2 linked regions of the Caenorhabditis elegans genome follow. Each later gene encodes a partner of the first gene's protein in a complex. Each region holds a gene or a part of one and is shown on either strand. Other genes may lie near its edges.

Region 1 (9,578 bases):
TTGTTTATCTATCGCCTGTTTCCCACCACCACCACCTGCCCAAACTTTCTTTTTTTTGTTCTTTTCGTCACGGTTCATGAGAAAGCGGATGAATAACATTGACATGGGAGAATGAAATATATGCTTACCGGCACCAGTATGTCTCAATCAGTTTTCCATTATAGCATTTTCCATTGACGGAGCAAGCACCTTCCCTTCCGCATTCTCCACCCATAAGTTGACTGGCGATTGGCGCAAAAAACGCGAGTAAAATTAGAAGAACTCGCATTGTTGTGTTCGCTGTTCGAGATTCTGTTATTATTAGTTGTTAGAGCAGCTCTTGGTGTTATTGTACATGAATCTGAAAGAAAATATGAATTAAATCAAGAGATGCGGTTAAGCGAAAAAAAAGAACACTTCAGCATTATCACAAAAGTACAAAAAAAGAACGGAGAACAGGAAAAAAACGAAAATGGAGAAGACAAGGAGCGACGAATGAAGGCCGGGTGGCATACTCCGCCCATTTTCTGAGTGTGTTGCGATTGTCTTGACACCTGAGATGGGCGGTCCAAAAAGAAGGATAACAGTACTTTTTTCGAATAGGAACACTAGAAAAAGAACTGTTAGGATAAATCGGAAAACTCATTGATTACATTATTTTATTGCCTATCCGACAGCTGCATGTTGGTTGCGAAATGTGGAGAAAACAACCAATTTATGGCCTTTCAATTGATCATTCCCGTGAAGAAGAAGTGGGGAAAACGATTTACATAAGAAAGTGAACGAAAAACTTTGTTAGAACGATAAACGGAGATTTGTTTGCAATGATTTACTTGGAACCTATTTTACGCCGTTTTCAAGCGATGAATATTCCGAAAATAATGTGATGGAGCTAAATAAACTTATTACGATCTCATTTAAAATATTAGAAATACAGAAAAATGTTCTTATCGTGTCAAAAAAAGAAAAAAAAACAAAGAAAATCATTTTAAAACTCAAAATAAATTTTGGCGCCGTGCACAGCTCGGAAGTCCGCAATTGACGACCGTACCCCTTCGCTTACCGTAGTTCTGATATTTGCTTATCTTTTTTAAATATTATTCTCAAAAACACACACAAAACTTATCTGAAGATTAAAAATACGAAAAACTGTATTCATGTTTGAATAGAAAAAAATCTACAGTATGTCTGTAAACATTATTTCAATATTCAGTCAATTCTGGAATAAACAAATTTGCTCTGCTTCTGGAAATGTTTATACAAAGAAAAAGCGTTATTGTCGGCATACAATACGGAATATAAAGGAAAACGGAAAAAGAAAACCGAAGTGCTAAATCGATAGTGATCACATAGGCGGTTTCAGAATAATCCACGTTTTCGTGCAGCAAGTCGTCCATTGTTCTCGAATTTGAACCTTCCTAAATCAGTCCGTGTTCTAATTTCCCGTACCTGGCCACATATGAACACAAATTATATTGGTAGAACATATGGAAACAAGGTACACGTGTAGTTATTGTCCGATAAAATGATAGTTTTATGACTCATAGGAAATTTGAATCTAGGAAGATTCCACGCAAAACTGTTGGTCAGATGCAATTTTTCACGATTTTTCGAAAAGATGTGCGCCTTTATGGAGTACAGTAATCCATTTCGCAATTTTCTTTGAGTTTTTCACTATATTTCTCTCGTTCACAAAGATTTTGATGGATTATATTAAATTTCTCGTTTTTGGGAGAAAAAAGTAAAAATCAAAGGCAATTTCAAAAAAAAAACCGGAAAATGGTTACTGTGCTTCTTAAAGGCGCACACCTTTCCGTCAATTTAAAATATTATGTTCGTGGCGAGATACGGGGCATACCGTATTTCTGCGTGGGAAATTGCAAAATTTTGTCAAAAAAAAATTTCTTCCAAAATAAGTTGAAAACTCTCACTGGACCGGACGTACAAAACTACATGTTTCTCCCAAAACATTGTTAATGTTGTTTCTCATACTCGAGGTTACCTAGGTATTCAAAACATTTGTACTGAAGAAAAAACATTCAGCATTCGGAAGATAAACTATAAGGTCATGTGAGAAAAGAGAAAAAGTATTGGGGATTCTGAATGTTTCCATAAAATGGGTTTTGTACAGCACAAGGAGTTAGGATTAATTTTACAACTTTAATTGAATTTTTAAGCAGTTGTGGATATTTTCAAATTCTTAAGTTTTCTGATTTATACCTTTTACTTATACGGAACTTGCTAGAATTAGCCAGGTGGCTGAAAATTTTGGTACCACCTTATAAGGTCCTAATGCCTAAAAGATAAATGAAGAGTTGCTGAGAGTAATTGGTGTATCAAATTGGGCTATAGAACATATGTTTATTAAAAATTGAACGGTACGGTATTGAATTTTGAAGATAATTTTTTTTCTGAATTTAATATTTTCTTAACATCTTAAATTCGATTTATCAAATTGACATTTTGAATATTCTGAAAGTTAAATATTTAATGGCTATGAGAAAATTATTATTAATTAGTAGATAGAATACGATTGCGTACCGGAAGGACCTTAGCACAAGTGACGTGGTTATCTAACTGGCTAGTTAGATAACCACGTCACTTGCCTAGGTTCCCATGACTTGGAAAGTTCATGACCGGATAAATTTCAGACAGGAAGACGTGCATGTTATTCTAATTAGTCACTGCTGTCAATTATATGATTCAGGTGTTCAAGTATAATGGTGTGAGAAAATATTGCATGTACTTGTAATCAATGCAAGTACATATTATGTTGTACTTGTATAAATTAGAACGAATTCATAGGGAACATAGAGGTGGAATACAGCATTTAATTGTATATTGTATATTTTGCTGACAACTTATGGAACGGCTTTAGAAGGATATCTGCTGTGCATATATCAAAATTCTAATGAAATGACAAAAACTCTAATTTGAACGCCCGCGTTTTGTCGGGTACGAGACTCCGATATCCCGCGTGCGCCCAGTTTAGTCAAGTTTTTGCTCGGTGTTTTTTTCTTATCATCAACTTTGCAAATAAGTTTTTCCCCTTTATTTTTTACGATTTCAACGATTTTTAGTTCGAAAAATGTGCGAAAATTATTATTGCAATCTTAATAATCTTCTTACTTGCCGAATTCGTCAGAATTTGCCCATTGAACGCTGATTTTTCGAGTTGGACAGTCTTTTATTCCAAATCGATGTTTTTCATAGCTTTTAATTGCAGTAATGTTCCGTCACGTGGCTCAAAATTTGGGCTCAAGAAACACATCCATTCAGTCATGTGAGTTTGAGCAATTATTAGTTTTGATATTCAATATCTGTTTTCCAGACCGGTTGCTGCGTACTCGATGGGAGCGAGGATACCTGAAGGACCTTTACCATCGCCGACAGATTCTTGGAGCTGATCCAGCAATTTCCCGATCTTCATACCCAAACTGGTAAGTTTTTTCTCAGAAAAATGTCATACAAAAGCCGTTTCCCATTTCCCACTGTATTGACTCACTGTGCTGCTAATTGCAATTGAAAATCGCTTGAAACTCAAGCGGTTTAAGTATTTTCTTAACCCATCTCAGTTCTGTGCAAGTACGTAATCATCATTGCTCTGCTGACAAGTCAACTCTTCAATGGGCTCCTATCAAGACTTCCATCGACAACTCTTCGGACGATTTTGCTGCTAACACTGCTGAAATGAAGGTTCTCGTGGAAGATTTGAAAGCAAAAATATCTAAAATCGAGCAAGCTGGAGGAGAAAAAGCCGTGAAATTACACCGCAGTCGTGGAAAAATGCTTGCAAGAGAAAGAATTGACGGCATTGTCGATGCTGGATCACCATTCATAGAGTTTAGTCAACTTGCTGGATACGAGGTAAACGATATTCGTATCCGATTTGAAATTGACTGTTTCTTTTCAGATGTATGGAAAAGAGGAAGTCCCATCTGGTGGAATTCTCACTGGAGTTGGAATAGTTTCTGGTCGTGTTTGTGTCATTGTAGCGAACGATGCGACTGTCAAGGGAGGAACATACTATCCTATCACCGTAAAAAAGCATCTTCGTGCACAAGAAATCGCCCGCGAAAACAAATTGCCTTGTATCTATCTCGTAGATTCTGGTGGCGCAAATCTTCCACGCCAAGCAGATATCTTTGCCGACAGCCAGCATTTCGGAAGAATTTTTTACAACCAAGCAACAATGAGCAGCGAAGGAATTCCACAATTGGCTGTAGTTATGGGAAGTTGTACAGCAGGAGGAGCTTACGTTCCAGCTATGTCTGATCAAGCCATTATTGTCAAAGGAACCGGAACTGTTTTCCTTGGAGGACCACCACTTGTGAAAGCTGCAACTGGAGAAGAGATCTCTGCCGAGGAACTTGGTGGAGCTGATCTTCACTGTGGAGAATCGGGTGTTACTGATTATTATGCCCATAATGATAAACATGCTTTGTACTTGGCAAGAAGTTGTATCGCGGGACTACCACCAGTCGAGGAGCATATGACCTTCAATCCAAACGGTATTACAATAGTAAAATATTCATGTTTCTAATTCTCATTCTTCAAAATTTTCAGCTGATGAGCCTTTGTATCCAGCTGAGGAAATTTACGGAATCGTGGGATCTAATCTCAAAAAGACATACGACGTCCGCGAGGTTATCGCTAGAATTGTCGATGGCTCTCGATTCCACGAATTCAAGGAGAGATATGGAGAGACGCTTGTGACCGGATTTGCTACTATTTATGGGCAGCGTGTAGGAATTCTAGCTAATAATGGTGTTCTGTTTGCTGAAAGTGCCATGAAAGGTTCTCATTTTATTGAGCTGTGTTGTCAACGGAAGATTCCTCTTCTTTTCCTTCAAAATATCACTGGATTCATGGTATGATTCGACAATTTTTCAATATTCACAGAGTTTAATCTAATTTTTTAGGTTGGAAGAGATGCTGAAGCCGGCGGAATTGCTAAACATGGAGCTAAATTAGTTACTGCGGTCGCTTGTGCAAAGGTTCCAAAAATCACCGTTCTCGTCGGAGGTTCATACGGAGCTGGAAACTACGGAATGTGTGGAAGAGGATACAGTCCAAGGTTTGGAAAATATAGTTGGGATACTTTCAATCTAGCTATTTCCAGATATGTGTTCATGTGGCCTAATTCTCGAATTTCCGTAATGGGTGGAGAACAGGCAGCGAATGTACTTTCAACTGTTCAAAAAGAGAAAAAGAAGCGCGAGGGAGCTGACTGGACGGATCAGCAAGATCTTGAGCTTCGTAAACCTGTCGAGGAAAAGTTTGAGAAGGAAGGACACCCATACTTTGCTTCCGCTCGTCTTTGGGATGATGGAGTTATCGATCCAAAAGACACCAGAAAGGTATGGTTTCTCAAAACACTTCTAGAAAAACCCAAATTTTTCCAGGTTCTCGGACTCGCTTTCCAGTCAACCCTGCAAAAGCCAATCCCAGAAACCAAATTCGGTGTATTCCGCATGTAACTTGTTGATTCAGGACCATCTCACTCATGTATTTTTTGTTGTGAGATTTTTATACGGATTTTCTTTAATATAGAGCTTTTTGTTAGTATGTTACGACGGTTTAAATTTATTTAGAGTATAGCTTTGATTCTGATTGCTTCCGTTGATTTCTAACCTGCTTCATACCAATCGAGTGCCTTTATGTGTTATCTAGGAATTTTCTCTTTAGTTATGAAACAAATAAAGTTGATATGATAAATATATATATTAATTATTTTACCTCGTTTCTATTGTATATTAAACTGATTCACTATGTTTTTATTTATTCTGCACAACACAGGGAGAAATGGGAAATGGCTTATATTTACAGGAGAAATTTTAGAATAAAGACAAATTAAAAATTTGCAGGGATTACGACAGTGAACTATATGCTTTTGGACACAGAATTGGAGCACCGGAAATATCCGAGGATCAGTATATTAAGGTAAGTTAAAAATATTTCAAAGTAGGAATCTGAAAAATTTTCATTTTTCAGGCGCTTACAAATGAATCATTTTTTCAAAGAGCCGACGTCGAAGAAAATGTAGAAAGTGCTCAGCCGGGAGCAGAAGTTGGAACTGAACATAATGCAGAGCTTGTGAAACGTGGAGAGCAAAATCTGTCGATTTGGCTTAAAAGATATTTGCGATTCCATTTGGCAAAGGCTCCTGAGGAATTGATTGAAGCAATTGATTCTCATCTTTTGGATGATGAATGTCTTGCTGGTATTGCTAGTCATCTCGGTGAGACTTCCTCACGAATTGTATCTTGTTTTCAGTTCAGCATTTTATATTTAGTTTCAAAATAATTTCAATTTCAGGTATCGACCACCTTGTCCGTACAAAAGAATTCCCGATCAGTCAAGAATCCTCAGCCGACGCTTTCCGTGCTCTCGCTGGAGTTTTCTCTGATGAAAAAGTGAAAAATCTTGTGATCGATTTCATAGTTCCCCAACTAGTTGATATTGATTTTGCTGGTAATGGTATTATCTTCCAGATTTATATTTTTATTTCATAAATTGCAGACATATACCCACTTGCCGATCCTCTTGCTGTTGTAACTGATTTGTTAAAATCTAACGGTGTCACTGAAATTGAGCCACGAGTTCTTCGATCGGCCGGAGAGAACAGCGCAGAGCCGATCTATGTTGTTGCAATTTATGCGGACAAATTGAAGAATGTTGGACAAAGTGCTGGAGAATCATTGGCAATTGCTGTTGATATGGCTGCTAGAGAAGCATTGCTCAGACTCTGGGATATTACTTCAGAAAAGTAATTTTTATCAAAAAATATTTGATACGATGCTCCTGTAGCTATTACCGAGAAGCGAAAATTTTCAATTTTTGCACAAAAAAATCGGTACCCGGTTTTTTTGTAAAATGTAAAAGAGTGTGAATTATCATAGATTTTTCGTAGTTTTTAGGGGGAAAAAAATGAAAAATCAATAAAAATTTAGCAGCAACAAGAGCTTGAAGTTACAGTACACATTTCAAAAACAATTTCGTGTTCAGACTAGGTACCGTATTTTTGGCGCAAAATTTCGCATCTAGATGATATTTAAAAAATTAAAATTTCAAGCTTAATCAGAAGCAGGGCTGGGGCAAAAAAAAGCCGAAGACAACGAAAAAATAAAATTCGCCGAAAACCCAGAAAAAGCGAAAAACAGATAATATTCTGTTTAAAACGCTTTTTTGGAACATTTTTGAACCTACTACGCTAGTTACATTTTCGAGTGTCTTTTTTTTTTGAAAACAAAAGTCAAATTTCGAAATTCATGAATTTTGAAGCTAGATAACCCGATTTTCCAGCAAAAAATATTCAGCGAAAGTTTAAATTCTATGAAATTAAAAATAAAGTAATTTTTTCAGAGTCCTCTTCTTTGGCGATCGTGCTGCCAATGTACCACTGGAACGATACTCTCAACCGAATTTCTCATTGTCACAGAAGTGCTCTCCAGGGTATTTGCCAAAACCAATCTTCAAAATCAATGAAAATCTACTTCTTAATTTCAGAACAAACACGAACATTATTGACCATAGCCAACCTGTTGAATCACCAGACAATCTAATTGAAGCAGTTCTCCGATACCGAAATGTGGTTGATGCAGAAGTAGGAAAGAGCTACACTAAACGATTGCGACACAAATTCTCGCGTGGTTCGCTTGCGAAACGGTCCTTCAGATATCTTGTCAAGCCGAAGCCTTACACGGTTGCTTAATTATTATTATCTAGAGAGAAGCCTTTAAACCTTCAGATTTCAATCGTATTATCTCATTTTTCCTCTTTTTTTGTTTTGTTCCAAATAGTTTTCCTTTCATTTTTGTTTGTGTTGTTAAATTTTTCAAATCAAGCTAGAATAGTGAAAGTTTCAATTTTACTCTGTTATTTGTTCTACTACATTTCCCCATTTCCACACTTGTACATGAGTGCTCAATGAAGTCGAAATTGGCAACAGCTAATCCATTCAGTTCCCATCTTGTTAAAGGAACATAAATTAGTCACATTTAAAATTCAAATTGAATTCATAATGCATCCCTTTCCTCTCTTCTTGTTGTTCCCTTCTTCCTTCCATCTCCGCTTTGCTCTTTGTCCTCCCATCGGCTCCTTGATAAATGATGGGGTCCCCCTTGGCCAGATGCAACCCCATTTATCTAAGACCCCGCTGCTGGCTCCGTGAGCACATACACAAGAGATGTGACCCTTTGATAAGCCCCAATGGGACGATTCTTCTTGTTTATTAGAAATTTGATATGCAGTTTGTTGATGGAAGATTAAATTTGAACAATATTTTATAAACAGTGGAAGGTGGAAATTGGAGCGTTCTATAGAATTATAGAAAAATTCATTCATTTGTTTATCAGTCAGTTATCAACCGATTATAGATCACACCAATGTAATGGACATTACAGAAAAAAATACGTAAGAAACCACAGGTTTACAGATCCGGAAAAAGAAAATTCAGACGTCATTCTCTATGATTACGGTAGTTGGTGAGCTCTGTTGAGTGCACTCTTGCATTTTATTTTACGTGCAAACACATCGTACTGCTTCTTTAAACTAAGTACTTGTTTTTGCCAATAATAATAATATAAAATATTTTGTATATTTTTTCGATGAACATATTATATACATATTTTTTATGATAATCATATTTTCGATAAACTTTTAAAAAAACGAAAATCAAACAATATAAAAACATAGATTTCCTGAGAAAAACTATGAAAAATCGATTAAAATTCCACAAAGTTTGAAATCACAGTACTCTTAAAAGGCGCACACCTTTTCACATTTAACAAAACGCATTCGCGTTGAGACCAGGTACCGTATTTTCGACGTAACAATCGAATGATATAACTACGCAAGATTAGTTTTGTTCTGTCAGAGTGAAAGTTTAAAGAATCTGACATAATTCTTCAAGTCAGTTGTTCAATGACCTTTTCAGCCAAACAAATTGAGAAGTACCACATCACACCTGGCTCCATCTTCCATGCATTAATGGGAACAATTTGAGCAATTGGTGGTGATGATAAAAAAGAGATAAAGTTGCACTTTTTCTTTGATTTTTTCATGATTCCTGATTCACCTTTAGTTTTTTTTCTTTTTTACACTGTCTTTGTGCTTTTGAGCTTCTTCTTCTTTCATTTCTCAAAAAGCTGCAAGACATCACGTGACACAATTGAGCCATAGACATACTTTGTGGTTTGTAGTGTGTTATGAAGTGTCTGAAGCGTTCAGAAGATCCCTCTGATGAAACTGAAACAAAACATCTCATTGACTAAGGTTTGCAGGTACATCAAAGTGTAATGGGGTCAATGAAGAGCCTGATGAAATTGATAAAGAGATAAGATGATAGGGATTGGAATGTTCTAGATTCGATTGAAAAAGAGATGGAAAAGTAGAGATCACGGATTGACAAATGCTATGAAGTTCTGCAAATGAGCTTTACAAAAACGCGACCACGATGTCGCACTTTTAACATTTTCTATCAAAAATGTTGAAGAATCGAATTCGAGGAGCATAAAGAATGAAAATCTGTTTTTTTTAATTGAAAATACCATGAAATTCAGTTAATTACAGAAAGCTCCAAAAATGATTGGAAAAAA
Region 2 (4,949 bases), 640 kb from region 1:
AAAAAAGGCGTCAAACCAGTGTTTGCATCTCCCGAATCAGATTGCTACTTGCGTCTTCTCGTTTTGCTTCATCTTTATGCTCAAAAAAAGAATACCGAAGCTCTTGCTCTCGGCGAGAATCAACTCACATCAAGTAAAAAACATATTTTAACCCAAACAAAACGTATAATTTTCAGTTTACAACTTTGATCGGCGTACACTGGATGGACTCGCAGCAAAAACCCTTTATTTCCTCTGTGTGATCTACGAACGAGAAGGACGTCTTTTCGATCACCAGGGATTCTTGAACTCTCGACTCCGTACTGCAACTCTCCGTAATTTCTCCGAGTCACAAGCCGTTCTGATTTGCTGGCTTCTTCGCTGCTACTTGATCAACCGTCAATATCAATCAGCTGCTCATCTTGTCTCCAAAGTTGCATTCCCAGACAATGCATCTAACAATGATCTTGCCCGCTACATGTACTATCAAGGACGTATAAAGGCTCTTCAACTCGATTACAATTCGGCGGCTGGATATTTCTTGCAAGCTCAGCGAAAAGCTCCACAAGAAGGTGCCATTGGCTTCAAACAAGCTGTTCAGAAGTGGGTTGTTGTCATTGGTCTTCTACAAGGAGAGATTCCTGATCGAAGTGTGTTCCGTCAACCAATTTATCGCAAATGTCTTGCTCACTACCTGGATCTCAGTCGAGGCGTTCGCGATGGAGATGTTGCTCGTTTTAATCATAATTTGGAGCAATTCAAAACACAGTTTGAAGCTGATGATACTCTCACATTGATTGTTCGTCTGCGTCAAAACGTCATCAAGACTGCAATCAAGCAAATTTCTTTGGCGTATTCCCGAATTTATATCAAGGATATTGCCAAGAAGTTGTATATTACTAACGAGACAGAGACTGAATACATTGTAAGTAATTTATATTGACAGTTTTATGTTTATTATAATTGTTGCAGGTGGCGAAGGCTATTGCCGATGGAGCAATCGATGCTGTTATCACTTCTGATGTTCGTGATGGACCTCGGTACATGCAAAGTTCAGAAACAGCTGATATTTATCGTACTTCGGAGCCACAAGCTCACTTCGATACTCGTATCCGTTACTGCCTCGAATTGCACAATCAAGCTGTCAAAGCTCTCAGATATCCACCAAAGAAGAAGATCGCTGTTGAAACTATTGAGCAAGCTCGTGAACGCGAGCAGCAAGAGTTGGAATTCGCCAAAGAGCTGGCTGACGAAGATGATGACGATTTTTAAACCGATCACTCACTTTTTTAATTTATTCTGAACAATGCATTGGAACGTGTCTGTCTCCGTAAATAATTTTGTGTGTATTTTATTTGAATTTTCTCGTCTCTTTTCAAATCGAGATCCCTGTCCACTTTTTTCCCACACCCGAATGAATTTTATAAGGATGAATTGCATATTTCACCAAGTCTTTTTAAAATATATTTTGTTTAAAATTGGTATTTTTCACCGATTTTATTTCTGAATTAAGTAGTGTTAAAAGAGAAAGATCGTCTAAAAAATAATCTTCAATTCTATCGTGATAGAAATCCATGAGTTTTCGAATAAATACTGTATTGCAACATCTAAATATACGATTCTATTAAATTTTACAAAAATAATGTAATTTGTCTAAACACTTGCTTTACGATGTCCGCAAACACTACCTGCACACGAACTGCGTCAGAAATTACGAGCACGATTTTCTTAATTCTTTTAGTTCAGAAACTTTCTTGAAATCATTTTAGTTATATTTATGTTTATTCAATATATTTTGTATTACCAAAAGTAAAAAAAGGAAACACTGAAAATCCCATTAATATTTAAACTCTATTTTTCTCTGAAACTAACTGGAATTCAATTTTGGAATTTATTAGTTTTAGTCAATTGCTCTCTGATATTTAATTTTTTTTTCATTTAAAAAACATAATTTATTTAACTACGAGATCGATTATAGCGCTGCTTTTCTTCCTCTTTGAAGTTTAAAATTATTTTCAGAATGAATGAGGCTCGAGCAAGGATCATAATAAACCTGCGGCTGTCGATGGACTCGCTGATGCGAGTTTTCAGTCACCGATCACCACCTCCTTCATTTGGATTTGCTTGCGATGTCGGTGCACATCCATCATCAACTGCACAAAACTTGCCAATGACATATGGAAGTGTTCGCGAAATGATTGACGATTTTAGTATTGTTTTTGGAGTTCCAAAGTATAGAACTAGCAAACGTACGTTTATATGTTATGTAAAAAAACTGATTTTCAAAATTTATTTTTTAGCAAAGAAAGTAACTCGCAAGTTCTCATTCACACGCCTTCTTCAACCGATTGATAATCTTGTGACATGTCCAGCGTGCTCGAATATTCATCCATCGGACACTATTTGTGATGCCTGCTACGCCAAAGTTCATCAATTGACTTCGGAAATAAAAAAAAAAATGATGCAGTACAATCCATATGTTGGAGAGAAACAGGATAAAGAAGTATGTTGGTCCAAAATAAATTAGTTTTCCAATAAAATGCTTTCAGGTATATGTGAAATTCAGAGGAGAACCAGATGCACCGGCAGCAGTTGTTAAAGGAAAGCGAGTTCTCGAAATTGAAAAAGAACGACCGACTTGGTTCAAGAAGTTGACACTAAAAGAATGATTTTCCTCTATTTTTATAGGTTTTTATAGATTTGTTCGTTTTCCTTGTTTTTGTTCATTCATCATTTTTTTTTTTATTGGAGTCATAAATAGAAAAACCTCTTACCATTTTCTAATTGTATTTCTATTTTCCATTTATGTTTCAGGTGGAAATCAAAACCATTGCGTGTTGTAAGTGTGAAACAGCTGAATCGATATTCTCTCCGGTTACCCTTGTTTCCAAAAGTGTGTCACTTGTTGACATTCCGCTTTTCTAATGTGCTCTTGTCACGATCACTCTGCTCGAGCACATGAAGTAGGAGAACTGCATGTGTGTTTGCGTGATTTTTAGAGGAATCCATTACTTCGGTTTAGATGTTTGATATTGGGTTACAATGGTGAGTAAGGGATTCCACATATGTTGTACTTTTGTATGCAAGCAAAATGGAATTCTGAAACGATGCAAAATTCAACAATATTTTGTTCATTAGTTTATTCAATTTTTAGACAAAAATGTGGGAAAAAAGTTAAAAATATAAAGGTTTATAGAGTATCCAAGACGTGTCATAAAGCGCAAAATTTTGTGACTTTTTCGTCAAAACCCGGTCTCAACACGACAATTTATCGTTAAATACAAACGGGTGTGCGCCTTTAACGAGTACTGTACAGTACTCTTTGAAGGCGCACACCTGTTTGTATTTAACAAAACAATCATCGTGTTGAGACCAGGTACCGTAGTTTTGCCGAAAAAAACCAATTTTCTAAAAGTCCTTATAAACAGTTTGTTTTCTGGAAGCCATGGAAACTCGACTAAGGTGGCAGCAGCAGGCAGCAATACTTTTAAAATTTGATTCCCAAAATTTCATTGAATTCTAGAGATGTTCAACTTTTTCTCTCTTCTATTTCGATCTGTTCGCTTCTTACCGCACATTGAGACTGATAGTTGAATTGCGTGACAAGAGTATTTCGATCTCCTATCTCTGCGTCTCACCTCCTACAACACTGTCTCGAGACTAATGATGAATGCATTTTGTACCAGTCGGTCGATCCTCCATCCTTCCTATTCAACTTGTAAAGTTGTGTTGTTGAGATATGGATTAAAAGAAAAGAAAAAAGAAATACCATGAATTTTCGGATGAGTTCGTATTTTTAGAGAGTAGTCGGCAAAAGAATGAATTGGGTTACTGTAAGAAGTAGGGGGACAAAAGTTAACAAGGGCAAGTAAACATTAAAAATATCTGACTTTACCTGAAAAAGGTAAACCAAGTGGCTAAAATAATACGAAATTTACAGAACAATGGGAAGTGACGCGCTACAGTACCTCTCTTAAAGGCGCACACTTATTCACGGGCGAGTTATCTGTAAATTTTTCAGTCGTGGCGAGACCCGGTACTGTGGCTTCGATATCTGGAAATTTTGGGTTTTTTGACTGTGCAAAAGATATAACATTTTTATTTTACTTTTTAAATCAGTTTATCGAACGTTCACTGTAAAGGCGTAGGCTACGTGGAAGGCAGTCACGCAGGTAGGATCTTTGTGCTTTTTTGAAAGTCGAACTATAAAACAATATCTTCTGATTGAAGTGCACAACATCAGTTCAAGAAGTCCCGTCCATCTTCATTAGTTGTCTAAAAGTCATGGATATACCCCGTCTCATCGTCAGAGCCAATGTGACTATGAATATTGGGTTTCACCACCATCACAAATCCAAAAGACTCACTACCACATTTTAGGGGCTTCTTCTTCTTCTTTTGCCTATCTCAGTTTACTTTACTCTCAAATAGTAGAAGAGAAGCCTCTTCCTTCCTTTTCTAATGAGTGAGCCTCCACCGAGAATGAGAAGAAGGATGAGAGGTTGAGGATTATCCGACAAAACCATATTTGGACTTAATATTAGACAAACTAATGGGTACCGTAGTCTCGAATTGGTTGAAGGACAAGGTAATTGATCTAGTTGCTTTGAAAAATTAAAAAAAAAAAGACCATCTTCATGATTTTAGCTGAAACTGTTAAAAATTGTATTACCTTGTGTACACTGGTCGAAGCGGATCTCTTTGTTAGGGAAGCCTTCAGGAGCACATGTCTGACCATGCCTACCTACCTACCGCCTACTTTCTGATATTTTTCCTGTGCTCCATTGTTTTCATTGTCTTGTTTCACTGTTTTTTTTTTGAAAATTCACCAATAGAACTTTCGCATGTAAGTTGGCAGAACGCTGAAGACAAGGCCAGGCCTTCTTGCAGTCGTGTAGGCGTTTCCGAGATTTCATGGAATGGCAATGGGGAGCATACCGATCAGCAATTTTTAATATACCAATAAATCA

The links.
Region 2: mrpl-44 (region 1) and mrpl-32 share a complex: the UniProt entries of both Caenorhabditis elegans proteins name them as parts of the mitochondrial large ribosomal subunit.

The regions. Positions count from the first base shown.
Region 1 is NC_003281.10:9,083,003-9,092,580, reverse strand, and holds mrpl-44 (Large ribosomal subunit protein mL44), read left to right. Parts: upstream 1-3,205; 5' UTR 3,206-3,207; coding exon 3,208-3,262; intron 3,263-3,310; coding exon 3,311-3,419; intron 3,420-3,554; coding exon of another isoform or gene 3,555-3,846; intron 3,847-3,892; coding exon of another isoform or gene 3,893-4,490; intron 4,491-4,545; coding exon of another isoform or gene 4,546-4,850; intron 4,851-4,901; coding exon of another isoform or gene 4,902-5,056; intron 5,057-5,101; coding exon of another isoform or gene 5,102-5,339; intron 5,340-5,384; coding exon of another isoform or gene 5,385-5,459; exon of another isoform or gene 5,460-5,837; intron 5,838-5,846; coding exon 5,847-5,922; intron 5,923-5,973; coding exon 5,974-6,220; intron 6,221-6,297; coding exon 6,298-6,453; intron 6,454-6,501; coding exon 6,502-6,748; intron 6,749-7,344; coding exon 7,345-7,434; intron 7,435-7,488; coding exon 7,489-7,693; 3' UTR 7,694-8,271; downstream 8,272-9,578. Other genes in the region: glp-1 (glp-1/Notch intracellular domain), read right to left, coding at 129-268; mccc-2 (putative methylcrotonoyl-CoA carboxylase beta chain, mitochondrial), read left to right, coding at 3,208-3,262, 3,311-3,419, 3,555-3,846, 3,893-4,490, 4,546-4,850, 4,902-5,056, 5,102-5,339, 5,385-5,459. UniProt on the Caenorhabditis elegans protein: Component of the mitochondrial ribosome. May have a function in the assembly/stability of nascent mitochondrial polypeptides exiting the ribosome.
Region 2 is NC_003281.10:8,447,759-8,452,707, forward strand, and holds mrpl-32 (Large ribosomal subunit protein bL32m), read left to right. Parts: upstream 1-1,998; 5' UTR 1,999-1,999; coding exon 2,000-2,228; intron 2,229-2,279; coding exon 2,280-2,482; intron 2,483-2,528; coding exon 2,529-2,648; 3' UTR 2,649-2,761; downstream 2,762-4,949. Other genes in the region: rpn-3 (26S proteasome non-ATPase regulatory subunit 3), read left to right, coding at 1-133, 177-904, 952-1,251. UniProt on the Caenorhabditis elegans protein: Component of the mitochondrial large ribosomal subunit (mt-LSU). The mitochondrial ribosome (mitoribosome) is a large ribonucleoprotein complex responsible for the synthesis of proteins inside mitochondria.